7 linked regions of the Canis lupus familiaris genome follow. The protein of the gene in region 3 purifies or fractionates together with the protein of the main gene of each other region. This does not show direct contact. Links are inferred from orthologs where the notes say so. Each region holds a gene or a part of one and is shown on either strand. Other genes may lie near its edges.

What was found.
Region 1: the proteins of RELA (region 3) and HDAC3 purify together in Homo sapiens (affinity purification with western blotting; 3 studies listed by BioGRID and IntAct, with this or other methods). This does not show direct contact. The link is inferred for Canis lupus familiaris from reciprocal best matches to the Homo sapiens genes RELA and HDAC3.
Region 2: the proteins of RELA (region 3) and RPS3 purify together in Homo sapiens (co-immunoprecipitation; 5 studies listed by BioGRID and IntAct, with this or other methods). This does not show direct contact. The link is inferred for Canis lupus familiaris from reciprocal best matches to the Homo sapiens genes RELA and RPS3.
Region 4: the proteins of RELA (region 3) and STAT3 purify together in Homo sapiens (affinity purification with western blotting; 5 studies listed by BioGRID and IntAct, with this or other methods). This does not show direct contact. The link is inferred for Canis lupus familiaris from reciprocal best matches to the Homo sapiens genes RELA and STAT3.
Region 5: the proteins of RELA (region 3) and NUFIP2 purify together in Homo sapiens (affinity purification with mass spectrometry; 3 studies listed by BioGRID and IntAct, counting the BioPlex papers as one, with this or other methods). This does not show direct contact. The link is inferred for Canis lupus familiaris from reciprocal best matches to the Homo sapiens genes RELA and NUFIP2.
Region 6: the proteins of RELA (region 3) and FBXW11 purify together in Homo sapiens (affinity purification with mass spectrometry; 6 studies listed by BioGRID and IntAct, counting the BioPlex papers as one, with this or other methods). This does not show direct contact. The link is inferred for Canis lupus familiaris from reciprocal best matches to the Homo sapiens genes RELA and FBXW11.
Region 7: the proteins of RELA (region 3) and TWIST1 purify together in Homo sapiens (affinity purification with western blotting; 3 studies listed by BioGRID and IntAct, with this or other methods). This does not show direct contact. The link is inferred for Canis lupus familiaris from reciprocal best matches to the Homo sapiens genes RELA and TWIST1.

Annotation. Positions count from the first base shown.
Region 1 is NC_049223.1:35,742,557-35,746,595, forward strand, and holds the start of HDAC3 (histone deacetylase 3), read right to left. Parts: upstream 2,801-4,039; 5' UTR 2,712-2,800; coding exon 2,657-2,711; exon of another isoform or gene 2,637-2,656; intron 2,551-2,636; coding exon 2,468-2,550; intron 1,106-2,467; coding exon 963-1,105; intron 1-962. UniProt on the Homo sapiens protein: Histone deacetylase that catalyzes the deacetylation of lysine residues on the N-terminal part of the core histones (H2A, H2B, H3 and H4), and some other non-histone substrates.
Region 2 is NC_049242.1:23,299,725-23,303,964, forward strand, and holds the start of RPS3 (40S ribosomal protein S3), read right to left. Parts: upstream 2,801-4,240; 5' UTR 2,767-2,800; coding exon 2,737-2,766; intron 1,699-2,736; exon of another isoform or gene 1,551-1,698; intron 1,420-1,550; coding exon 1,289-1,419; intron 788-1,288; coding exon 694-787; intron 207-693; coding exon 112-206; intron 1-111. UniProt on the Homo sapiens protein: Component of the small ribosomal subunit. The ribosome is a large ribonucleoprotein complex responsible for the synthesis of proteins in the cell. Has endonuclease activity and plays a role in repair of damaged DNA.
Region 3 is NC_049239.1:52,058,017-52,060,981, forward strand, and holds the end of RELA (transcription factor p65), read left to right. Parts: exon of another isoform or gene 1-58; intron 59-62; coding exon 63-143; intron 144-236; coding exon 237-311; intron 312-1,083; coding exon 1,084-1,679; 3' UTR 1,680-2,465; downstream 2,466-2,965. UniProt on the Homo sapiens protein: NF-kappa-B is a pleiotropic transcription factor present in almost all cell types and is the endpoint of a series of signal transduction events that are initiated by a vast array of stimuli related to many biological processes such as inflammation, immunity, differentiation, cell growth, tumorigenesis and apoptosis.
Region 4 is NC_049230.1:20,469,442-20,472,941, forward strand, and holds part of STAT3 (signal transducer and activator of transcription 3), read left to right. Parts: intron 1-1,286; coding exon 1,287-1,445; intron 1,446-1,574; coding exon 1,575-1,667; intron 1,668-2,719; coding exon 2,720-2,779; intron 2,780-3,500. UniProt on the Homo sapiens protein: Signal transducer and transcription activator that mediates cellular responses to interleukins, KITLG/SCF, LEP and other growth factors. Once activated, recruits coactivators, such as NCOA1 or MED1, to the promoter region of the target gene.
Region 5 is NC_049230.1:43,380,461-43,384,558, reverse strand, and holds the start of NUFIP2 (nuclear fragile X mental retardation-interacting protein 2), read left to right. Parts: upstream 1-1,298; 5' UTR 1,299-1,397; coding exon 1,398-1,692; intron 1,693-4,098. UniProt on the Homo sapiens protein: Binds RNA.
Region 6 is NC_049225.1:41,241,322-41,244,821, forward strand, and holds part of FBXW11 (F-box/WD repeat-containing protein 11), read left to right. Parts: intron 1-1,571; coding exon 1,572-1,682; intron 1,683-2,802; coding exon 2,803-2,881; intron 2,882-3,500.
Region 7 is NC_049235.1:33,429,393-33,433,256, forward strand, and holds TWIST1 (twist-related protein 1), read right to left. Parts: upstream 2,523-3,864; 5' UTR 2,410-2,522; coding exon 1,783-2,409; 3' UTR 1,741-1,782; intron 1,173-1,740; 3' UTR 501-1,172; downstream 1-500. UniProt on the Homo sapiens protein: Acts as a transcriptional regulator. Inhibits myogenesis by sequestrating E proteins, inhibiting trans-activation by MEF2, and inhibiting DNA-binding by MYOD1 through physical interaction. This interaction probably involves the basic domains of both proteins.

The sequences.
Region 1 (4,039 bases), on a different chromosome or scaffold from region 3:
AAAATAAAATAATCTGGGATGCAGATGAAGTAAGACTGTCCATTGGCTCATAAGGGCTACAGGTGGTGATGGATATATGGGAGTTCACTATGCTATTCTTTCAGAAATATTTGAAAGTTTCCTAATACAAAGGCTAAAAATAAATTGAATAAATGGTAGCTGTTATGATCACTACATCTTCATGAATATACATGAGAATGTAAGCCAGGATAACGGCTTATCTTTGTTATCTGTTCCCTTCCTCACAGGGCCTAACTCTGAGCCTTCTTTGTATGATAAAGCTCGGTATAAACCTCTCACAATGTAAATCACTCTCTTGCTTTGAGAGCACTTTGATAATTTCCCTCTACTCTAGGGATAAGAGCCCTAATTCATAATAGGGTTATTTACTTTTTACAGGCCCTGCCCCTCTCTTTAGCCACAATTCAGATAATTTTTCTTTTCATTTTCATTCAGTGAATGACCTTTTTTCTGTTCCTCAAGTGAGTGACACACCAACCTCTCACAGACCCTCAAGCACATGTTGTCCCTAATACCCACAACATTCCTGACCTCACCTCCTATCCTCCCAACCACATTTCATCTAATTAACCCTGCTCTTTCTTCAGATCTTACCTTAATCTCCATTACTTCCTCTAGGAAGCCTCTACTGATCAGCCCACTCCCAAGATGGGTAATTCCCCATGTATACACTCTCACAGTCTGCCAGATACCTCTCCTTCACAGGACTTAGCACAACTGTAATATTAAAATTTTGTTGTTGTGTATCATTGCATTGCCAGCACTTAGCACTGGGCCTGGCCTAGAGCAAATGACCAACATTTGCTGAATAACCAAATGAGTAAAATGATGATTCACTGACAAACAGGACCCCATTCATATGTTCCCACTGCTGTCACAAGACCTCACTCAAGTGTTCTCCTTGAAATTCTGGCATTAAAAAATCCCAGTTCTCCCCTCACCAGTCATCGCCCACGTTGAAGGCATTAAGGCTCTTGGTGAAGCCTTGCATATTGGTGGGGCTGACTCTCTGCAAGAAGTCGATGTAGTCCTCAGAATGAAAGCGGCACATGTCATGCTGGGAGGCCTGGTATGGCTTGAAGACCTCGGGATGGAAACATAAGGTGAACCCAGGCAAAGTCAGTCCTATTCATCAGGCTGAGATTCCCCACATTGAACCCAGCCCTGTGGACTATCCAAAAACCACACATCAGCAGTCCCCTCACCCCTCCAATTCTTGTTATTCTATGAAGCAAAGGTCAGTGAAGAAGAGAGGCTCTGATTAGTCAGGTGGGGTACTACAATCAAGCATCCAAAAAACTAATGGGCTTGCCTTCTCCTTCCTACTTCCAGCCCAACCTTTCCCGCCTTCTCAACCTTGAGCCCTTATCCACCTGCCCTGTTCCTTGGATCTCCTATTTTTTTTCCGCCATACTCATCTCTTCCCCCTGGCTCTGATTCCATCCTCTCTCTTCTCTGAATTCTTAATTTTAGAGTTAAATAATATGGGTTATATGACAACTTACTAATTAAAACCCCAGGGTGCCAAGGTGTGAAGCCAGAAATGTATTACCTTTTGAGGGGTTCACATACTTCTTTAGAAATTGGGCAAGAACAAAAAGCTTCTCTCCCGAGATAATATATACACAGGAATATATCAACAAACAATTTCAAGGGATTCAGAGATTCATGCACTAATATCACCTTGGTCTTTTCTATAATTAATTCGCTAGACTGTGCCTCAGCACAAACAGTAGACAACACTCATTCATACTATTGACTAATTCCCCTTGTGACGCATGAGGGCTGAGCTTAACTGTTATAATTGCCTATCACAACTATAAATTCCTATAAATGGGGATTGTCTGTCCCCATGTGCATATGTGGGAGATGGAGGACTGGGTAGCAATTAAATATAACCCTGTGAGGGTATGCTAAGTTGACAAAGAAATTCCCAGAACATCTCCTGCTCTCTTCCATACACACATTTGCACACAGGGCTGCAGTCCCTCCTGGAGCTATAGCTCCTTGGAGGTGGAGAGAGGTGGCAGAGAAGGGGTGAGAATTGCGGTGGGAACACGTCACATCCAGATAAAGTAACCCAGCCCCTCTCTCCTGAAGCCACAGCACTGCCCACATCCTAAGACGCTAGGGAGAAAAACACCTCTGTCTTCAAACCAGCCCCATTCCACCCTAACCACAGGCCAGAGGTTGGTCCACCTGAGGTCAAAAGTGGCCAACCTAAGGTTTGAAAAAGTAACTCCCATTAAGGCGGTGGATCCACCCACCAACACTGGGCATATGGCGGGTGCTCTAGGCTCCTTATATCCAGCCTCCCCAACCCCCAACCCCCAACCCCCACCCCAAGGGTGGGTCGCACCTGGTGCATTCAGGGCAGCCCACCTATATCGTAGGGCCACACAACTCGCCCGCACCCTTAATACCCAGCAGCGACGGCGAGACTCACGATCATTTTCTTATAGAGACCGTAGTGCAGGACCAGACTGTGGGTCAATGCCAAGCGATGGGGCTTCATAGGGTGCCCTGCCCCTGGGGTGGGAGAAGAGAGTTCGTCAGTTCCCGTCGTTGGAGTTGTAGCCCCCGCCTCGAAACCTCCGCGTCCCGAAACCCCTCACCTACAACCTCCTTTCCTCACCGTAGTGGAAGTTCCCCACATCGGGGTCGTAGAAATAGGCCACAGTCTTGGCCATGGTGCCGGCGGGACCAGGCCCCGCACCTCCACCACCACCCGCCCGGCCGCCTGCCCCACCCCCGCTCCTACGTGCTGCGTAAGCACGCAGCTTGCCTCTGCGGAACCGGGAAGGTGAGGCCCCGCCTCCCAGGCTACGCCCCCTGCGGAGTTCCGCCCCTCGCTCGGCTTCGCCCTTCCAAGTTCCGGAGCCTGAGCGTCTGGGCTCTACGGAGCACCGGGGGCTTCGGTGCTAGGATGCTAGTCATTTCCTTCCGGCGGGGGTCAAATCCTCAGGAATCTGAGCCGTCTCGTCCATCCACCTGCCCCAAACGGGGCAGGTCTAGGAGACTCGGGGAACCGGCCACGCCGTCCCTCTCGGGTGCAGAAAGCCAACTTCCCCTGCCGGCGGGGAAGATTCCCGGCTACCCACCCGACCGAGGCATCTGAGGGCGGGAGCCGCGCCAAACATGCGGGATAGACCAGTGGAGCGCGCTTTCTTCTGACTGCCTGTCCTCCCCACCCGGACCCAGACTCGGCGCCGCACACTCCCCCGGGGGGGCGGAAGGGGGGCGGCGGGGGACGGCGCAGTCACGCGCGCACCACACTTGCGCTCACAAGCGCGCAAGCCTCTCGCTCTCCGCCTCGCACACCTGCGCTCCGCCCCCTGGTCCCGGGTTGGCGGCTGGCGACTGGCGGAGGCATTTGGGAACCCAGGGCAGCTGCGGCGGCGCCCCCCACCCCCATCTCCATCCCCTTCCCACAGCCGGAGTTGTCCCGAGCCAGCCGCCGCTCGCAACCAGCCCGCATCCCTCTTCATCCTTCCCTCCCCCCGCCTGCCGCGGCACCGGTATCTGCAGCCGGAGCCCGGAGCCGGTGAGGTGGCGAAGGGGGGAGGGGGAGGAAGCAAGGGATGAGCGCCGGGAGGGCGTCGGGGGCCCTGAGCCGGACTAGGACGTCCCTGGAGCCGGAACCCGAGCCGGAGCCGGAGCCAGAACCAAACCACCGGTACCGAGTGGGCCAGGTGGTGAGGATGGGAGGAAGGGAATAGGGTGGCGTCGTGCGGGAATACAGGCAGGGGAGGGGGCTGCCGAGGCCTGGCTCAGGCCCGCGCGGAGGAGGTGCGGACGCTGACTCAGGCGCGATTCTTGCACCGGCCGCCTGAGAATTCCGTCCCGTCTCGCTCTGCAGTGTCCTTGGGAGGGACGGAAGCGCAGGACAAGCTGGAAAGGGGAACGCTCTGGGCGTCGGGGAAGCAGGATCAGGGTCGTGGAAGCGGGCTTGCGCAGCCGCCGTCTGGCACCCCTGCCCCGGACCAGCACCCCTGGCACGGACAGCTCCTTGGTTGGG
Region 2 (4,240 bases), on a different chromosome or scaffold from region 3:
ATCAGGCTCCCTGTGAGGAGCCTGCTTCTCCCTCTATCTCCCTGCCTCTCTGTGTATAACTCATGAATAAATAAATAAAATCTTGAAAAAAAAAAGTCTCAGGACACTTACCTCCGCACAGCAAGGCCTCCTAGGAGTTTGTAACGCAGTGACTCTGCCTGGGCAATAGCACATAGACCTCTTGTGGCCACCTTTTCGGCATAGAGCTTTAAGAAGAAATCAAGGTACACCCTTAAACCTGTTAACTTTCCCCATTGTTTTCAATTAAAGAAAAAAAAAAAACTCATTCACCATACAAGCATGTGGTCACTGTGGCATCCCTCAAGTACTAAAACACTCCTACTACTCATAGGTAGCCTACGCTGTGACATAGTCTGAATCTTTCCTTATTGCCCTCTCATCCCTAGATACTTCTACAGCTACATCAAGTGATGGGATAGCCAATCCATCATACATATCATTACCATACTTAAGTTGAGAGTAAAAAAAAGTCCCTTAACCACCAGAAATGAGCAGAAAAGGCCTATAAAATAAAGCCTGCTACTTATTAAGACAACCAACAAAACACCAATTCATATGTAATACTTGGTGATAACTAAGGTCTTCATGACATTAAGGGTTTATAAAAGTAACCACCCTAAATAACCATTTCCAGGTCCACGGTAATCTCTGGCAAAAGGCAAAATCACTCACCTCTACACTGCCCTCAGGAAAACCAAACCTCTTCTGAACCACAGCAGTCAATTCCCGGATCCTCCGGCCCTTTTCACCAAGAACATTCTGTGTCCTGAGAAAACGAAAATACACAATAGCTCTCACAAAACTGCAAACATGGCTTTAAATTTTACATATATGTGGTAATGAAGTCTCACCCGTCTAACATAGAAAATACAAATTTTGGATGACAAGAGCTAGAATCAGATTTAAAAGGCAGTTACGAAAATACACATTTGTGGGGTGCCACGTTGGCTCAGTTGGTAAGTGTCTGCCTTTGGCTCAGGTCACTCAGGTCAAGATCCCAGGGCCCTGGGATCAAGCCCGGCAAAGGGCTCCCTGCTCCTCCCTCAGCCCCTCAACACCCCCTCCCATCCTCCGCTTTGCACTCTCAGTCAAATGAATAAAATCTTTTTTTTTTTTTTTCAAATGAATAAAAATCTTAAAAACAAAAACAAACCACTTACGTTTGCTAATAAGGCCAATTCACTGGTTCTCCCTGGAAGTTTACAGAATACACCAACCTAGCATATACAACAAGTAACAGGTGCTAACCAGGAAAATGAGATCTCACCTGGTGGCCAGGATAATGATTTCTGTCCTGGTTGGTGTAACTCGGACCTCAACCCCAGAGTAGCCATCTTCAGCGAGCTCCCGAGTGAGAAACTCATTCAGTTCAGCTTTGAAGATGCCATCAGCGACAAACTAACCAAAAGGGAAAATTCACAATTAGAACGTGGGATGGCAGGGTCATTGTCCTTCTGCCAATGCAACACCTCATACAAACATCCCATCATCACTCTTACTACCCTTGTTCCAACACAGAATTTAACAACCCTTCTCAGACAAATGCCTCTAGATCGTCCTTTGGAAGTTACTTTAACCCAAGGACCCTTAAAACTGCCACAGAACGCAGCAAGGAGTAGGGGCCGCCTGGCAAAGATAACACCTCCAGTCAGACTCGTCATCTTCTCTTCATTGAAGGGTTTTAAAGACTTCTTTAGGAGTAGCACATGCCAAACAAACAGCTGCTCTAAAATGGCACATTCACGGGATGCCCAGGTAGCTCAGCAGTTAAGCGCCTGCCTCCGGTCCAGGGCGGCGCAGGGCGTGATCCTGGAGTCCCGAGATCCAGTCCCACATCGGGCTCCCTGCATGGAGTCTGCTTCTCCCTCTGCCTGGGTCTGTGTCTCCCATGAATAAATAAGTAAAATCTTAAGATAAATAAAATAAAATGGCACATTCACAACTCCTTCTGTCTGCAGAGCAGAGATGCTACCTTTGTAACCCATGAAAATACGCTGCCTTCAGGGACCATCAGAAGACTCCCAGCCATGTTATCTTGCCTACAGTACATGTCTCACAAAGCTGAACTCTAATTCGAAAAAGTGTGTGGATTTGCACGACGCTGTGTACACACACAAAATGACAAGTTAGTTGCCTCTTTCTAAAGCAAGCGGACTTTACAGTTTCCGCCTGCGGAAAAGCGAAAAGTTAAAGCTCGATCCAGTGCTCTGTCCGGTTCTCCTCCCTCCCGGTTACTTTCTCCGCGGTAGAGACGGGGCAAGATACAGCAGCCTCTCCAACCGAGGTCTCGGGGGTCAGAGGGCCGCGCCCCGACACGAAGAAGGCGTGCACACGCCACCTCCCCCCCCCAAAGTCCTAGTGAGAGACATTAGGGGGAACGGCCCAACCTCTCAAAATACGCTTACTAAAGCTACCTGTTAACCAAGTAATGCTCCCAAGCGCTTTGTCTCGGGCGGGAGGGGCGCCCGGTGCTCACGTCTGGTCTTCGCCCAGAAGCGGCAGACGTCTCTCATCACTCCCTTCCGCCGCCAAACCGCGCTCGCCTGGCTCGGGCCTCGCATTCAATCCACCGCCATCCGCGGTCCGCGGGAATGCCACGCGGCCCAGGCCGCTTCCCGAAGCAGGGCTCGAAGCTGAGGGTCTCGCGACGGCATCTCGACAAGCCTCGACCCGCGCGGCACCACAGATCCCCGAACCTAGACCCCAGCGTCTTACCTTCCTCTTCTTGGAAATTTGCACCGCCATCTTGCCGCCGCGCGCCCCGGAAAGAAAAGGAAGTGGCTCGTGGGCGGAAGTAGGTATAAAGGGCGCGAGCTACGACAAAGAACTGCGCGACGTCGACGCCTGTAGGCGCTCCTGGGAATTGTAGTTTTTAGGAAGGCATTAAAGAGGGGAAAAAAAGGAGGGGTAATGGAGACACGTATAGGCAGAAACAGGAAAGGGAGCAGATCAATCAGGGGAGCTTAGGTCCAATTCTTATTAGCTTAAGTGAGCAACGTGAGGCGCAGAGATGGAAATTACAGGTATAAACTCACACAGCAACAGCGTGCAATCCTAGTCCCTGCACTCTACACTCAATGAAATTCGTTTAGGTCCAGCCCTTCTGTGTCCGTTTTCTCTGTTCCAAATGCTGGCGATATAAATATCTAATATTTATTAAATATGCTAGGGACTGTTCTATGCCCTTTATATTATGAACTCATTTACCTCTGCCTCACTTTCATAAAGTCCATTAAAACTAGTAACGGAAGTCACCAAGTAGTGGTTCATGGGGTCACAATTATTTTTCCGTTAAAAAAAACTGTACCCCTTATATTTTGAAATTTTCAAGCACACAGGAAGGTTGAAAGAATTATGTATATGCGTCACTAAGGTGATCCAATTAACATTTTTGCCATATTTGCTTTATCCCATATCTATCCATCCCTCTATCCACCCAAGGGTGCATCTTTTGATCTTTTTCAAGGTAAATTACAGCCCTCTGCACACTTTACTCTGAAACACCTCAACAACAGTTTTATTGAGAAATAATTGGCATACATCACTGTATACGTTTGAGGCATGCAGCATGATGCTTTGATTTACAAATATTGTGAAATGATGACCAAAATAGGTTCAGCTAATACCCATCGTGTCATACAGATACAATAAAAAGAAAAGAAGAAAAGAAAAACAAGTTTTTCTGTGATGAACAGTTTTATTTTAAATTTGAATAGTTTTTTTTTCAAAGATTTATTTATTTATTCATGAGAGACACAGAGAGAGTGAGGCAGAGACACAGGCAGAGGGAGAAGCAGACTCCCCACAGGAAGCCTGATGCAGGACTGGATTCCAAGACCCCCAAGATCACAATCTGAGCCAAGGGCAGATGTTCAACCACTGACCTACCCAGGTGCCCCTTAAATTTGAATAGTTTGCCTACATTTAAAAATCAGGAAACTTCTCTATAAAACTCTTTTAAGCTTCTCTTAAAAATACAGAAAGATCCAGCAAAATACTAGACCTACATTTCCTCATGGCAGCCCTCTCCTTCCCTGTTTTATGGCGAAGGGCTTTCCAACATGCCACAATCCCTGGCATCTTCACTCATTCATTGTCTGGCTCTAGAAGCCATTTGAGCTTTTCCCCAGCAGCAGAAAGAATCTGATGCAAAGTTCTGTCCTATACTCATGGAATCACCAGAGTTCTCGGGGGAGCAGAGCAGAGGGACCAGGGAAGA
Region 3 (2,965 bases):
TTGAAAGCCTTGGGGATCCATCTGAAAAGAGCGAGGCCCACTTCTCCCCATTACTTTTCTAGATGATCGTCACCGGATTGAAGAGAAACGTAAAAGGACATATGAGACCTTCAAGAGCATCATGAAAAAGAGTCCTTTCAATGGTGAGGGGGCAGTGGAGAGCATGAGAGAGGTGGCCAATGGGGGAAGGGGACGAGGAAGTGGGGGCTAGGAACTGACCCATCCTCACCCCACAGGACCCACTGACCCCCGGCCTCCACCCCGGCGCATTGCTGTGCCTTCCCGAAGCACGACTTCCGTCCCCAAGCCAGGTGAGGATTTCCTGTTGTCCCACCAGAACTACAAGCTCAAATCTGTTCAGCCTGTGGTTTAGACACCTTCTGGGTTGGGGGGATAAGCAGTCAGCTTCACCAGCAGGTGTCTGAATCCTGCTCTCTGTTGGGCTCATGTTTCTCAGGGCTTGAGGCCTAGTTACTACATCAGAGCCATTTGGGGTGTGGTGAAGACATGCATTCCCGGGCCCCTTACTGACCTGTGCAATCAGGCTTTGGAAACATGGCCCAGGAAGCAGCTAATGCACTAGTGAGCACTGAGGTCTGAGAGCCACTGTGTCAGCTAGGTCCCATATTGGATGCCTTGGGAGATAGTTTAAAAATGTAGTCTTTGACCTCAGCTCTCAATCGAATTAGGGAAGCAAAATCCCCTCCAATGTAGTAGAGTGTATATGCTGGTAGCTGGTAGCAGAGTAACAAAAAAGAGTAACAAAGTGCCCTGCTTCAGGCCATGACACTGGATGCTACTTGGGCTCAGTGTCCAGGCTCCTGGTCTCTTGAAGTTTTACCAGCTGATCTCTGACAGCATCCCTTTCTCTTAAAGGCTAGGAGAGCTTTGTGGGGCCCCACAGGAGGGGGTGAGGATAGAACTGCACAGGTCAGATGGAGTAAAAGGAAGGAGTGAGGGTGCTGGCAGGGAGCTCCTAGGGAGGTGTTGATCCTAATCCCTAGCACAGGGGCTAGGGCACAGACAACGGGGTGGGTCTCTACAGCTTCCTCTGGCCCCTGATTCTCTGTCTCTTTCTCCCAGCTCCCCAGTCCTATCCCTTTACGCCATCCCTCAGCACCATCAACTTCGAGGAGTTCTCCCCCATGGTCTTTTCTTCGGGGCAGATCTCAAGCCAGACCTCTGCCTTGGCATCAGCCCCTGCCCCTGCCCCAATCCTGGCCCCGGCCCCGCCAGCCCCAGCCCCTGCCCCAATCTTAGCCCCAGGCCTTGCTCAGGCCATGGCCCCCCCTGCCCCCAAGACCACCCAAGCCGGGGAAGGGACGCTGACAGAGGCCCTGCTACAGCTGCAGTTTGATGCTGATGAAGACCTGGGGGCCCTGCTGGGCAACAGCGCTGACCCAGCCGTGTTCACAGACCTGGCCTCCGTCGACAACTCTGAGTTTCAGCAGCTGCTGAACCAGGGTGTATCTGTGGCCCCCCACACAGCCGAGCCCATGCTGATGGAGTACCCTGAGGCAATAACACGCCTGGTGACAGGGTCCCAGAGGCCCCCTGACCCAGTTCCTGCTCCCGTAGGGGCCTCTGGGCTCCCCAACGGCCTCCTCTCAGGGGATGAAGACTTCTCCTCCATTGCAGACATGGACTTCTCAGCCCTTCTGAGTCAGATCAGCTCCTAAGTGGGTGTTACCCTGCTCAGAGCACTGGGTTGCAGGGGATGGAAGCCCTCCCAAAGCAAGCACTTATGGATTCTGGGGGCGGGGGGGGGTTGTATGTGCTCCAACTGCCCCCACCTTCTTTGGGTGATGTCTTGGGGGGGGTGCATTTTATTCTTTTATTGGCAGTGTCTCTCTTTTTGGAGGTGCTTAAGCAGAAGCATTAACTTCTCTGGAAAGGGGGGAGCAGGGAGGACTCAAACTCTTCCACTATCCTAATGTTCAGCTCCCTTCTCTTTATAAGGAATTCTGGGGGCCCCCATCCCTACCCTCCAGCTTCTAATACTCTCCTAGAGAGGGCCGGGCTGGAGCTATGGCCTTTGAGGCCACAGAGCCTTATCACCAAGTGTCTTCCTCAAATCATGGATTCATTCTCACCTTGTGCCAAAATAATGCCCCCTACCAGCCCCTCTGTGGTGCTGGCATTGTCCTTAAACTAACACCAGCATTTGAGGGCCTGTCCCCCTGGCCCAGCAGAGGTCTCTACCAGCTCTTCCCTTGCTCAACTGTGGCCCAGGGGGACTGGTGGGACAACACTGGCCCTTTCCAGGATCCAGGGAGGTTCAGTCCGAGACTTTTCTGTTCCCCCTTTTCTCAAGTGCCTTAATAGTAGGGCTAGGTGTTTGGAGAGTAGGGGGGAGGGCAGGCTGGCAGCTCTCCAATCAAGAGGCTCGGTTTTTACTGAAGAATGAAAGCAGTTGGACTCTTGCTCTTTCTACTCTGAACTAATAAATTCATTGCCAAGCTGGCCGTTGGTTTCCCTTCTTTTAGCAAACCGAACACTCTTGGCTGGTCACGTCAGGCTGGACATTAGTGAGAGCTGGATGAATATTTACAGTGCCTTCTAGAAGTCTGAGGATCAAAGCCCGTGGGTCAAGGCAGGCAACTAATGTGGGTGGGGGCTCAGCATAGAGAAGAAGGCCCAGTGGGGCCCACTGGCTGTGGGGATGGAGTAGTTTCAGGAAGGGCATCAGAGGCCATACCAGCTTTAGGTCTTAGATCAACAGAGGCAGGAGAGTCTTTACAGAGCCGCTACCAGCGTTCCAGTGTGAGACAATCTTGAAAAGCTTGGATGGGGCCAGGCTATAAAGGTCAAGGACTCTGAATTTAAAAACGGTTTGAATTTCATCTCTTGAGTGGCCAAGGGAAAGTCCACATCTGTTGAGGAAGAGGAGATTCCAGGTAAAGGTCTATGCTCTGACATCCTGTTCTGCGAGGGCCGAAGAAATAAATCAGCGTAGAGAGGCCTA
Region 4 (3,500 bases), on a different chromosome or scaffold from region 3:
TTATGCAGCAGATCTTTAGTGAGCTGAGCATCCAGATGTGCAAGGCCCAGCAATGTGCATGATGCATGGGCTTGAACTATGAGAAATTTGACATAAAGGGGCACCTAGAGACTTAAAGCATGACATTGGAAATTTAGGACAGCCCTACATGAGAAAGCCTGTTTGTTCATATCCTCACTAACCCTGAATTTTGTTAATTCACTTAAAGCAGTGTTAAGTGTTTTCTGGTCAGGGACCCAGAAAGCTTAAGTTCTGGCAATGGGAGAATGTAAGTGGCAAAAGAGAGTTGGGGAACCCAGAAATCTCAGCAGCTGTCCTGTTCCTCCTCATGCTCCACACACCCCCACATCTCTGCCTTCTCTCTTCAAGGTCTTTTAGTGTTTATTAATCATGCGCTTCAACCTCTTCTGTCATGCAAGGGGACACGAAGACCTGTGCTGCAAAGGGACGTGGCCAGGGTTACACAGATAGTAAGTGACAGAGCTAGCTCAAGCCCATCCTCTTGGGATGTCTAATTGCCTACACTTCCCACATTTTGGTACAAGGATGGGTTAGGATAAAGGCAGTACCACATTTCATATTTCATGTTCTCCATACCTGAGTTTGAATGCTTGTCACTTTCTTTCTTTTTTTTTTAAGATTTTATTTATTTTAAGAGAGAGGGGGAGAGAGAGAGAATATAATCGAGGGGGAAGGGCAGAGGGAGAGGGAGAAGCAGGCTCCCCGCTGAGCAGGAAGCTCCACCCTGGGCTCAATCCCAGGACTCTGAGATCATGACTTGAGCCAAAGACAGATGCTTAACCAACTGAGCCAGCCAGGTACCCTTTCTTGTCACTTTCTGATGATTATTCTATTCCTGCTTCTTAGGGATATAAGTTTTAACACTTCTTCCTCTATGCCAGCTCTTTTTGAAATGTTAAATTTTAAGAAGGAACTGTTAAAACACAAAATCCCTATTTCTTATTTTTATTTATTTATTTATTTACTTACTTACTTACATAAGCGCTGCACCCAACATGGGGCTTGAACTTATAACCCCGAGATCAGACGGCACATGCTTTACCAACTGAGCCAGCCAGGTGCCCCCCATTTTTTATTTGATATTGCTGAATGATACACTCACAAGTGATAAATGTTACGTTATACCACAATAAAAAAAAAATTCCCCCTTTCTTATCCGAAGGGACTACATGGTGGTGTTTATATCTGTGGGCTTCCCTTCCCCTTCTCCAGCTCACCGGTGTGCACTCACTTAGTAACTGGTAGCTTTCTCATTTTATTGGCAGGATAACCTCATTAGCAGAGTCACAACTTCAGACCCGCCAACAAATTAAGAAACTGGAGGAGTTACAACAAAAAGTGTCCTATAAAGGGGATCCCATCGTCCAGCACCGGCCAATGCTAGAGGAGAGGATTGTAGAGCTGTTTAGGAACTTAATGAAAAGGTAACTTCGAATTCCGGTTCCTTTCCCTCATCGCTCCCCACCCCACCACCTCCTTTGCTTTGAGGCGTAGAACGAAAACCAGTTCACTGCAGAGTGTATATGTGGACTGCTGTCCTCTTTGCCTTTCAGTGCCTTTGTGGTTGAGCGGCAGCCTTGCATGCCCATGCATCCTGACCGGCCGTTAGTCATCAAGACTGGCGTCCAGTTCACTACCAAAGTCAGGTGGGCCCCATATTTCCTCTTTTGGTAGATATTTTATTTTTTAAATAAATGTTATTTATTTATTTATTCATGAGAGACACACAGAGAGAGTCAGAGACATAGGCAGAGAGAGAAGCAGGATCCATGCAGGGAGCCTGATGTGGGACTTGATCCTGGGACTTCTGGGATCATGCCCTAGTCTGAAGGCAGACGCTCAACCACTGAGCCACCCAGGTGTCCCTGGTGGATATTTTATTGAGAGATGTTCTTAGGATGAGAGCCGAGTTGATGGCCAGAGTTTTCCTTTCTAGGCCTCACGGGTGGTAGTATAGTGGGTATGGAATTTGCTGGCATAATATCGTATCAATTTGCTTCTTAATTCTCCTGTCAAAAGCTAAGGAATGATTACCTCTTTTTGAGGTTACATGAATATATTCCTACAATTTCAGGCCTATAGTCTTGGGCCATTGTGTCTCCTTCATCCCTGCAACAGAGGCATACTAATGCTGGTTATGTTCTATCCTTGGTGCCTACTTTTCACTACGAATTTTAGGGGAAAGAGTAAGGCATCGAGATATAGAAGCTAAGAGGCCATAGAGCAGGTGGGTGGTGGGCCTGCAGGGTGGGGTGTGACTTTCACACCCAAGTCAGGACAGGTATATTGGGGTTTGGTCTTCTGCAGTGAAATTTCCCTCTTTAGAAACTGGGTGTTAGGTTTCAGGCTTAACAGAAAGCATACCAGCTGCAGAGCGCGTGTTCCTGTAATAATTCTCATGAAACGACTTTCATTATCCTTTTGTAAATCTCATACAACTTTGTCCAAGTTTGTGGTTTTTACGCTTTCTATCAGTAACAATGGGCCTGAAGGGGTGATACTCAGTGTAAGGTCAAAGATGTCACTAGTAGGAAGAGGAATCTGGGATTGTGTTTTATTCACCTTTTAGAAATGAAGGGTTATGAATTCTGTATTCCTTTGAGTAGGAGTTAGTGGTGGAGCCTATTGACTTGTTTTTAAAACTGATATATTTTTTTCTTTACTCAAAAACTTTCCCTCCCACTTTCTTTTGAAATAGATTGCTGGTCAAATTCCCGGAGTTAAATTATCAGCTTAAAATTAAAGTGTGCATTGACAAGTAAGTACTCTGTATGTTAGCTTTTTTTTTTTTCTTTTTTCAAATGAGGGACAGAAATGAGAACTTGGATAATTATCATGTGAACTTAGAGGCTTTATCTCCATTTGGGGATCTTCATTTTTTGAATAGAAGTTTTCAAAAGTCTTGCAGTTCATTGTCATTTGCATGCCTGAACAAAAAACCACAAAGCTGGTGGTACAGATATGAGTTGTGATTGCTATTGTGACCCTGGGTCCTCCTTTTTCTTTAATTTTTTACCTGCAGACTTTTATTATAAAGATGTTGATCCTTCTTGAGAAGGTTAATGTGGCATAAGCAAAATACGTATAGAATTTCTTAACTCTTGACTTGCTCTTCAAGCTGTATCTTAGATGAGAAAAATAGCCAAACATTGTTTCTTTAAAGGATTTATTTATTTATTTATTTAAAATTATGGTAAAAATTTTAACATAAAATTTACCATTTTAATCATTTATAAGTGTATAGTGTTACATATATTCACATTGTTGTGCAACGGATCTCCAGAACTTCATCTTGCAACATGGAAACTTTCCAACCATTAAATAACAAATTCCTGTTTCCCTGTCCTCCCAGCCCCTAGCAACCACCATTCCACTTTCAAAAAAAATTTTTAATGAATAAAGATAAATAGGAATGGTGTAGGAAGATGCCTTGCCAGATACTAAAATGTATCACAAAGTTTCAGTTACTATATGAGTGT
Region 5 (4,098 bases), on a different chromosome or scaffold from region 3:
TGTTTCATGGGTACAGAGTTTCAGTTTGGGATGTTGAAAAAGTCCTGGAGATGGACAGTGGTGATGGGTGCACAACACTGTGAATGTACCTACTGCCACTGAACTGTATACTTAAAAATGTTTAAAGTGGTAAATTAAACATGTTTTATGCTAAATTAAGAAAATCCCCCTCGATGTAACATATATTGGGAATAGTGTATTATACATAATATTCTGTTTAAGAAGTAATTATAAAGCAAATACATGTGTAATCACCATCTAGGTCAAGAAATAAAATATTAACAAAGGGTATTCCTGTGGCCCTCTCCAACAAAACGCTTCTCCTCCTTTCTGAGTAACACTCTCACTCACAATGTTCCTGACTAACCCTTGGTTTTAAAAAAAATAAGGTTGTGATGTGATAATGCAGGATAAATTAAATCAACATTACAAAATCAATGGAGCATTTCTTTAAATTCCAATATTTTCCATACATGCAATATTTTTTTAATTAATAGCTTTTAAAGTGCCCTCTCTCCTTTCACTCCTGAAACTCTTCATATTCTACAACTTATCTTGGTTCTACAGTGGACCTCACCTGGAGTTAAAAACAACAACAACAAAGCTACTTCACTGTTGAGTTTAGATTTTCATGCCTCCTGCTCTCCCTTGCCTCCAACTACAAAGAAACAATGATTTAAACCCTTTGTGCCCTTTTAGAAAATTACACAGATACCCCATTGTGGAACCCTATAATCCCTTCGTGGAAAGGAAGAGATTAGCATATGAATACAAAGCAAAATGAATCCAGAATACAAAATGATCTACTGGATTGTGAAGCTCTTGTATTCTTAAAAAATGTATTTATTTCCTCTTTTTGTATTGCCCCTTTAGTGGTTCTCAGGGTTAAGGGAACTGAGCTTCCCCTCTGATTACCCGGAAAAGGATTAAAAAAAAAAAAAAAGCTAACATTCTAGGAGGTGCAAAACCAACAGATGGCTCCCAGAGCCAGTGGAATCGCCAGTGGAATCTGCTACACTCGACGTGAGTTTGCTTGCGGGCGAGGAGTGTAGAAAGTGCTGTTCGCAGACTGCGCGGTGAAGGAGAGAAAGCGACAGAAGAGAGAGCCATAGTGCTGACGTTGAAGGCCCGGCCCTGTGAGGTTGCACGGGGTAAGTGGCGTTGGCCAGGAGGCAGTAGCGAAGGGGAAGGAAAGAGGATTTGGGCTAGGGGCGGGGCCTGCGGCGCAGCGTGCGTCCTGATTGCTGGAGCGCCGCTGCCAATCTCGCAGAATCGCTCGGTTAACCAGTGCGCTGGCTAGACGCGCTCAGATATACTGAGTGAGCCCTGAGAAGCAGTCTCAGATCCTGACGGTGCCGCAGCCCGCAGCCTCAGCCAGGGAGTCCCAGCCGCTTTCAATGGAGGAGAAGCCCGGCCAGCCACAGCCTCAGCACCATCACAGCCACCACCATCCGCACCATCACCCCCAGCAGCAGCAGCAGCAGCAGCAGCAGCAGCAGCCGCCGCACCACCACCACCATTATTATTTCTACAACCACAGCCACAACCACCATCACCACCACCATCACCAGCAGCCTCACCAATACCTGCAGCATGGAGCCGAGGGCAGCCCCAAGGCCCAGCCTAAGGCGCTGAAACATGAGCAGAAACACACCCTCCAGCAGCACCAGGAAACGCCGAAGAAGAAAACAGGTCTGGGAGGGAGGACGAGTGGGGGAAGGGGAATGGGGGTGGGGGGTAGAGGGGATGGGGGTGGGGCTGGATGTGGAAAGCGCGGACGCGGTCGGAGAGAGAGAGAGAGTGTGTGTGTGTGTGTGTGTGTGTGTCTCGGTGTCCTGCGGGTCCGGGGAAGCCCCCTTCCATTCTCCCAAAGCCCGGGCTGGGCCGCGGGGTTTGCAGCGCCCTCTCCTTCTCCTCGGCATGGGAGAGGCCCAACCAGGCCAGTGTGACCTTCTCGGCCCCCGCCCGGGCTGGAGGGAGACCTGCAGGGTCGGCCTTGGGAATCTAGCCTCATTATTCCTTTCCCGTTTACCTTCCTGAGGCTCCAGAGGAACCTGAATTTGGTGGCCCTGAGTTAGGGTGAACATACCCCCCCAAAGCCCGCGGGGTGTATCTCTAGAAGGCCTAGCGAATCTCGACGCGGGTGGTGTCGCGAGACCCTCTTGCAGGCGGCGAGGCGAGGGGGTAGGTGGGCAGAGTTGAGGAAGTGTCCTCCCTCACCCGCTACCCCAAGCCCACCTGTGGCCTTGGGGTTCCCCGTCTGGGGGGGGGCGGCCAGGACCCCTCGACTCTCGAGTCATTTCTACCTCTGCGCGCCTTTTCTGGGCACCGGACCCCGCAGTCTACCCTCGCGGCTCCTCCCGAGCCCGGCGCCCGGGCCCGCTCCCCCCAGAGCCGGCGCGGCTGGAATGTTCTCTCCTCCTCGCGGGGCCGCTTCCTGTCCGCCATGTTGGAAGCCGATTCCTGTCACCGACTCCGGCCCGCTGAGGAGCGGAGGGGGAAGGGTGTCGAGGGGGCTCGGCGCGGCGGAGCTGGGGGGGCTCAGGATCCCCACCCGCGGTCGCCTCCCACCCCCCGCCCTGCGGGGGCGCCGTCGCCCCCGGCCGTGGCCTCCCCTCCCCCCGTCGCCGGCCGGGTTGTGTAACCCGGTGGCGGCCGCGCGGCCCCGGGCGGGTCCCTGGGGTGAGGGGCGGGGGCGGTTGGGGTGGGGGAGGGAAGCGGCCACGAGGGGAGCGGCCTGCAGCGGGCCCCGCGCGCCAGCGGCCGCGTTTCCCGCTCCCGGGTGCGGCGGGAGGCGCGGGCGGTCCGGGTGGGGAGCCGGCCTCGAAGTGGGGCCGGGAGGAGGAGGCCGCGGGCGACTGCTGCGGCGCTCCTTGGGGCAGGAGGGCTGGGGGCGGGGGGGATACATTTTGGGTAAAGGCGGTGCCTGAAGGCCGGGTGGGGTACCCAGCGGGAACCAGGCTCCCCGGTCACGAGTTTCTCTGCCACAGGAACCTCGTCTCCTGCCAGGTTCGCTCACGACTCCGCCTCTCAGGCTTTCACTTGGGCCCTCTCTTCAAGCAGCTCATTTTTACAAAAAAAGCTTGTTCTAGCTCCCTCCAGTCCCCCAGCATTTACCTTCTGGGCTTGGGTGTAGCGATTTCGAGGAGAGGGATTAGAAAAATGATCGGATGGGGTAGAGGGTGAGTTTTTTTGACCCCTATTTCTTGTCCTTAAGGGAGAAACGAGGTGGCTCATCCATGAGGTTGGCTCACTACCATCTTGCCTCAGACGAGGCTGTTTTCCATTTTTAAAGGAAAGGTGTTTTCCTATTTTCAAATTGATACGATCCCCAAACTCTTGATTTTCACAAATGTTAAATTGAGAGTAAAAGTAATTTTAGAAGACATTTGAGAAGAAATGAGCTTAAAACCTTGGAATCAGGCAGGGTTTTTTTGTTTTGTTTTTTGTTTTTTTACAAATTAAAGGTTCTTTGTAAATTAAGAAATGAAGGGAATGATAAGAAAATGTTAAACCCAGCAAATCAAATGTGATGCAGTTACTGAGAGCTGGAGAAAAATTCCTATTCTATTGAAGATTTAATGTAACTTGAAGACAAATTGGAATGCCAGATTTTCCACTTCTGGGATGGGTAGGGACATCACGTGTGCAGTAGAAATGAGAATGTAAATGTATTGAGTATTTAATCATAACAGATTTGAAACAGTTTGAAACTATTAGAAAGTATACAACATTAAATGTTTTAACGTTAGGTCTTTTTCAACTTAGAGGAAAGAATCTTGCTTTATTATGGTTGTGTGGAATATAAAGCAGTATTACTGTTCACATTGGAAAATTTTGAAACATTGCTCAGGTATTATACCCCTGCAAGAATCTCCTCTACAGATAGAAACAGCCCCTGAACCATTCAAGGTGGTATTCTTTAAATTAATAGGTCTATCCTGGAAGAGGATAAAGAGGGGGAAACTGGGTTTAGCAATTTTGTGAGAATGTAAACAATTTGGGATAATAGTTTTCCATGTGTGGCCTGGTCGCAGTACTGTTGCTTCAACATGTGTAATACTAATTTACTAAGAAAACTTAGGACTTTTTAAATAT
Region 6 (3,500 bases), on a different chromosome or scaffold from region 3:
TAGTCATTTTTCCATTGTCCTGGCTTTTTTTCTAACCAAATTGTTTAATGTTTGGGCAAAATAAAGATTGGTTTAAAAAAAAAAGAAGGAAGGAGGGAATGAAACCACAATGATAGAGCCGAAACTGCTGTGAGTTTTATCGTTTTAAGTTTTTAAGGTATTATGAAAGTACCATGAGAACCTGAGTCTTGATGCTTTCTATTACTTAACTATTTCAGCAGTAGACAGTCCTTAACTTTCTCACTGGACTCTCTGAGGTTTTACAAAGTGATAATGTGTATTCCTTTACAGTTTATAGAGGGGACCACTTTGGAGTCAGTGGTAGTGCTAAATGACACTGTTCACAGTAGATTAGAGAAGCCAGTGTCCCTGACACTGATGAGAAGATTTGCTGAGGGTGGCTGTCATAAAATATTCATGGGGCGGATGGTAAGAGCTACTTGTAGAGAGGCTAAGAAAAGGTTGTTACAGAATTAGTTTGCTAACTTTGTTTTGTACGTGCTTATGATTTCTTTTTGCAAACAATGTAGGAAAACCAATGATAGAAAAATGTGAAAATTTCAGTTTCACATATAAATCATACACCAAGAAAAAGTCTGGATATTGTGTGGGTTTATATTTCTGAGATGCTTCATATACCTAATAAGAGGCTCCCACTATGACCTCATAAACTGGACAACCCTAATATGCAGTATCATCTAAGAGGGGGTGTCCCTAAGCCTCATCAGGAGAGGGAAACCTCCATGCTCATGAACTGGTTCTTTTTTTTTTAAAGATTTTATTTATTTATTCATGAGGGACACAGAGAGGCAGAGACATAGGCAGAGGGAGAAGGTGGCTCCCCATGGGGAGCCCGATGTGGGACTTGATCGCAGGACCCCAGGATCATGACCTGAGCCAAAGGCAGATGCTCAACCACTGAGCCACCCAGGTGCCCCTCGTGTACTGGTTCTAACTTTAGCAGGCCTCATGGATTCCAGGCCAGAAGTGCCTGGCCTGGAAGCCTAACACCCCTGGCTGTACATACTATATCCTCTCCTCAACCCACACACATGCCTTTTCTTTCTCTTTACTGCCTGCAATCCCTGTCTCCCCCAGGAAAGTCCTTGTTATACCATTTAGCTACGTGGTTTCATCAATTCAGACATTAAAAGAATGCCGAATAAAAATTAAAAGAATAGTAATACATGCATGTGATTAAAAAACTGAATAAAAGGAAATATAATGAGAAGGCTTCTACCCAATTTAGTCTCTTTAAAAAAAAAAAAATGTTTTTATTTATTTAAGTATTCTCTACACCTAACATGGGGCTCGAACTCATGACCCTGAGATCAAGAGTCACATGCTCTTCTGACTCAGCTAGCCCTGTGTCCGCCAAATTAGTGCTTTAAAATATACAAATGATCTAAATATACATATGTATCTTTCTACGTGTATAATGTGGACTGGGAGTGAAGATAGAAACAAGTTCAGGAGAGTGAAAATCATGAATGGGACAGACATGAAGAACTCAAGGATAGTGTGAATCATGTGTGGGAAGTTGTTTCACAGAGATCTGTTTTACTTTCAAGGCTATGGGATATTGAATGTGGTGCCTGTTTAAGAGTCCTAGAGGGACATGAAGAATTGGTCCGATGCATCCGGTTTGATAACAAGAGGATTGTCAGTGGGGCCTATGATGGGTATGTATTTCAAATTTTTAAATACACTACTATCACTGTATCTAGAGGAAAAACAAGCGCTGTATATTAAGCAACTATGTATGTGCCAATTCTGTGCTAGATCTGTGTAATGGATGGCAGATGTTATTATACCACTTGATCAGGTGAAGCCGCTCAGGCCCAGAAGGATGAGTGGTCTTGCCCCAAGTCTTACAGTAGGATAGCTTCTGTAACTCCTATGCTTACACTTTTAACCATTAGTGTAACCATTATTGTAAACTTTGTAAGTAGCTTAGGTTGTACAGGAATTCCATTCTTTGCCTCAGTCCTAAATTAAGTTAGCTGTGTGTGCGTGCGTGTGTGTGTGTGTGTGTGTGTGTGTTCAGTGGTCCATTTCCTTTACCCTTTGGTTAAACACTCTTTTTTAAAAAAGCCTCAGGACTTTTTAAATGAGCAAATGGCAACTGTAAACCTTTCAAGGTGACTTTATGTATACTTCACAAATGGACTAGTTGGTCTGTTTATACTCCTTTGCTTAGTTCGAAGAAAGGTATCCTTGGAATTTCACAGAGAGTCCTAGCTTCTGTCAGCAGCACCTACTCAGCTCCAGAAAGCCCTCTGATTAATGAATTTGGTGACATAGATTATCAGGTCAGGAACTGAATTTAGATAGCCTGAAGTTGTTTTCTCATCTCCCTTAAAAAATATTTCTTCACAGTTTCAATAATTCCGAGAATGTGTAGGTCCTTATTTTTTTTTTCAAAATCAAGTGTAAATGGTTTAAATGACTTGTTACGACATAAGCAGTCTCCATTAGCTTTTCTTTTTTTTTTTTTTTTTTTTTTTTTTTTTAATTTTTATTTATTTATGATAGTCACAGAGAGAGAGAGAGAGGCAGAGACACAGGCAGAGGGAGAAGCAGGCTCCATGCACCGGGAGCCCGATGTGGGATTCGATCCCGGGTCTTCAGGATCGCGCCCTGGGCCAAAGGCAGGCGCCAAACCGCTGCGCCACCCAGGGATCCCTCCATTAGCTTTTCTAATAGCAGTTCAGATGTACTTTTTTCTATCAAGGAAGTTCCTGACGGTATATGAAATGTTGTTAACTTTTCTACTAATCGCAATCTCCATTTATTTTCTAGGAAAATTAAAGTTTGGGACTTGCAAGCTGCTCTTGACCCTCGAGCCCCAGCAAGCACTTTGTGTTTGCGCACATTGGTGGTATGTAATCTGTTGAAATGGGAGTGGTTCCTGCCCTGGAAGATGATACCTGCAGATAGACCTGCCTAGGTGTATCACAAGAAAGCTTGTGTATCTCATCACAGTGTGCCTTCAGAGAAATGCGCTGTTTTGTTCATTTTGTTTAGCCAAAAGCAGAGAATAACTGACATTTACATTACAGGGAGCTCTTTCCCAAGGAGCATTAATACAACTTAATATGTGAAAGCAGGCATCCTCATTTGTAGGTGGATTGGTTTCCTCTAGAGTACAAAGTATTTCCTGTAGATTTGGGAGATTTCTTAATATGGGTATCTGGTTACGTTATATTTTTATAATATAGCACATGTTTGTATTATGATGGAATTTCCCCTTAATCTATATTGTATGGATTATTGCTTTGGCATATAAAAATACCTTATTTTTATGTGTTAATCTTGTTTTAGCAACTTTGGCAGGCTCATTATTTCTAATAGTCTGGTTGCTTTTGTTACATTAATGAGGAGACAGTTGTTTGAAAATATTGATAGACTTGTTCTTATTTTCAGTAGCTTTACCTTTTATTTCTATTTTTTTGCTTCTTGCACTGATTAGAACATGCAGTACTGTGATTAGGACTATT
Region 7 (3,864 bases), on a different chromosome or scaffold from region 3:
CTACGCATTCCTACTGATTTGTAAGTGTACAGATACAGATCATTTTAGTAACACTTTGGGCATCCTTTCAGTGCAATGAACGCTATTACTTAAAAGTCCTGACAAACAGTGGAGGGTAGAACAAAAAAATACAGTAACGAGAGAAAAATAGTCCTGGCTTCATATTGCTTATTTGCATTTAACTGTTTTACAGCTGCCTCCTCAAAATATAAGCAAGAGAAGTGAGTAACAAATTTCCTAAGTTTTTGCTTGTTTGGGGGGCCTGATAAGAGATGAAGGAGAGATGCTACAAAGTCCACTGAACACCAAACTGGAATAATAATAATAAAGCTGTCTTTCTAAATAACACGCCTGTGCCTGTCAGTAGCTAGTTTATTTGCGTTTTTCACTGCTTTGTTTATATTAGTGCCCCCTCCCTCCTGGGTGCCTCCAGAGTTAAACAAGCAGGTATTTACCTCCAACTTAATCCTGAGCTTTAAAAATATAGACCAAACTCTGAGGTTCTTAAAATTTTCAATCATATTTATTTATTGCAGAAAAATAATATACAAAGATATTTACAAAACAATCATAAAAATATGAATGCATTTAGACACCGGATCTATTTGCATTTTACCATGGGTCATCAATAAATAAATAGAATGTTGTTTTTTGTATTTTAAGTTTTTTTTTTTTCTCTCTCAGAGGAAGACTGTAAAGAGGGTTTAACTGACTGTGATTTTGCAAGTCAGTTAGATCCCCGTATTTTTATTTCTAAAGACGTTCTTAAAATTCCTCTGGTTGGTACCATTTTAAAATGGAGAAAGTCCATAATGATGCCTTTCCTTTCAGTGGCTGATTGGCACGACCTCTTGAGAATGCATGCATGAAAAAATAAAAATAAAAACATTCTTCGTCAAAAAAAAAAAAAAAAAAAAGGAACACAAACAACTGTTCAGACTTCTATCAGAATGTAGAGGTGTGAGGATGGTGCCGCTGCCCGTCTGGGAATCACTGTCCACGGGCCTGTCTCGCTTTCTCTTTTAAAAGTGCGCCCCACGCCCTGTTTCTTTGAATTTGGGTTCTGCTCTTCTAATTTCCAAGAAAATCTTTGGCATATATATTTATTTTTAGTTATCCAGCTCCAGAGTCTCTAGACTGTCCATTTTCTCCTTCTCTGGAAACAATGACATCTGCAAAAACCCAGAAGGGGGGGGGGGGTTGGAAAGTTGGTTATTGTTTAGGTCTTCGTGGCTGTTTTCTAAGACTAGCGAGCACTGTTCTTATCACCACTACTGAGAAATTACGCTGAACAACCTGGAAGGATTTCAGCCCAAGGGCAAGAGGAAGTGGGTGGCCGGAAAGAAGGAGGAGGTGGAATTTGGAAGCATTTGTTTTAAGGAGAACGAAAACTTAGAGCCAGAAGAAAGGGAGGCGCTGGCAACCAGACTTGCCCTTCCCCACGACCCTCGAGTGTCTCTCAAGTCCTCCCTCCTGTCCGACACGCACACTCACGCACACGCAGCACACCCGGCACGGGGCGCGTCCCCCTCACCCTAGCGGGGACCGACCTGCCTTTCAGGGACGCTCGGGGGAAGAGGTGGCGGTGCCAGGCTGGGTGGGAAGGCTGATGGGGGGGGGGCGGGGGACGACCTGGGCGGGGGGGGGGGGGCGCGGAGGAAGGCCAGGTGGGCCGGGAGCCGCGGCCCGGCCGTCCGTCTGACCGCCCGCCACCTGACCCGCGGAGGCGCCGGTCCTTACCTAGGTCTCCGGCCCTGCCGAGGGGGTGGGGAGCTCCGCCTGCTAGTGGGACGCGGACATGGACCAGGCCCCCTCCATCCTCCAGACCGAGAAGGCGTAGCTGAGCCGCTCGTGGGCCACATAGCTGCAGCTTGCCATCTTGGAGTCCAGCTCGTCGCTCTGGAGGACCTGGTAGAGGAAGTCGATGTACCTGGCCGCCAACTTGAGCGTCTGGATCTTGCTCAGCTTATCCGAGGGCAGCGTGGGGATGATCTTCCGCAGCGCGGCGAACGCCTCGTTGAGCGACTGCGTGCGCTGGCGCTCCCGCACGTTGGCCATGACCCGCTGCGTCTGCAGCTCCTCGTACGACTGCGGGCTCCCGCCGCCGCTGCTGCTGCCGCCGCCGCCGCCGCCGCCGCCGCCGCCCGCCCCGCCGCCGCCGCCGCCGCCGCCCGCAGATTTCTTGCCGCGCTTGCCCTGGGCCGGGCTGCCCGGCTCGTCGCCGCCTCCGACGCCCCCGCCCGCGGCCCCGCCGGGCCCCGCGCCGCCGCCCGCGCTGCGCCGGCTGCTGCGCCGCTTGCGCCCCCCGCGCTTGCCGCTCGGCGGCTGCTGCCGGTCCGGCTCCTCCTCGCTGTTGCTCAGGCTGTCGTCGGCCGGCGAGACTGGCGAGCTGGACACGTCCTGCATCATCTCTCAGGTGGCAGCGCGCGGCCTCGCAGGCCCGGGAAAGGGAGGACGGCGGGGAGCCTCAGCCCGCCAGCTTCCCCCGCGCGCGGCGCCGGCCCGGGCGGTGCGGCCGCCGAGGAAGGGGCGGGAGGAGGCCCGGGAGGCTCTCGGCGGGGCGGGGAGGGCGCGCGGGGGAGGCGGGGAGGGAGGCGGGAGGGGGAGGGGACGGTGTGGATGGCCCCGAGGTCCAAAAAGAAGCGCCCAGCGGCCGCACGCACGCCCGGCCCGGCCCGGCCCTGCCCTCGGAACCGCCGCCGGTGCCGGCGCGCCCGCGAGGTGTCTGGGAGTTGGACGAGAGCTGCAGCCTCGGAGGCTCTTATACCTCCGCGCGGGCGGAAAGCTTGGGGGCAGCGGTGTCATTGGCCTGACGTGGGGAGGAGGGACTTTTCCAAGTTTTATAGGAAAGTTTCCGCTTTCCAGGCCCCCCTGCCCTCCCACCCCCTTCCTCGTCCCCACCCCCACCCCCCTTTCCGCGGGGTCTAACAATTCGTTCTCCCAAACCATTCAAAGGCGACCTGGCTGCGGCGGCCGGCCCTCTGCCCGCCTCCCCGCCTCCCCGCCTCCCCTCCCCGCCCCGCCGCCCTCCCCCTTCCCGCCCCGCCGCCCTCCGCGGGCCGGCGCGGGGCGATTTCCTTCCGCGCCCGAGCGCGCGCGGGCCGCGCCCCCGCACCCGAGCGCAGCCCCGGAAGGCGGCCGGAGGGGACCTTTCGGCCGCGGTGTCAGTCCCTCCCGGAGTGGATGTGACAGCAGCGGCAGCTCCGGCTACAGCTTCTACGCAGTGGGTGATGCTTCATCTCGCCCCTGTACCCTCTAGGTCCGCGGGGGCCGCTTTGGGATGGCCGGGGCGGGGGCAGGGGCAAGAAAACTGGCAGCCGCGGAGCTCTCCTCCCTATAGCCAGGTGGACGGAGGGGCTCCCCACCTCCCCACCTCCCCACCCCCACACCCCGAGTTGCAAAGCCCAAACCACCGCGGCTGGCCCTGAGGTCGTGGGCGGTTTTTGAAGACGTGGCCGCGACTGCGGGGACTGCGGCTCGGTGCCCCGGCCTGCTCTCACCCCTCCCTCAGAAGCATCTGGGCCTTCCTTTATCCCGCCACAGCGACCCAAGCCTAAAGCCGCTTGCCACCCCAAAGACTTCACCTCCGACGGGGCTAAAAAGAGGAAGTTCGTTCTTTTCTCGGAAGTCAGCCCTGTCCTCGGAGAAAGCAGCGGGCCGGAGAGGGACAGCGCAGGGTCTTCGCTGCGGCCCGCGTCGCCTGAGCTGCCGGCCCAAGGTGGAGGACCCCGCGGCCGTGTCATCCCTACCGTACCCCCACATAAAGCCCCACATCGTGACCCCTAAAGGGAGGCTCGTAAGAGAGCGAGGTGGGGTTCAAGCCCACCCCCCACCCTCCACCCCGAACCCGCGCAGCTGCCCGTT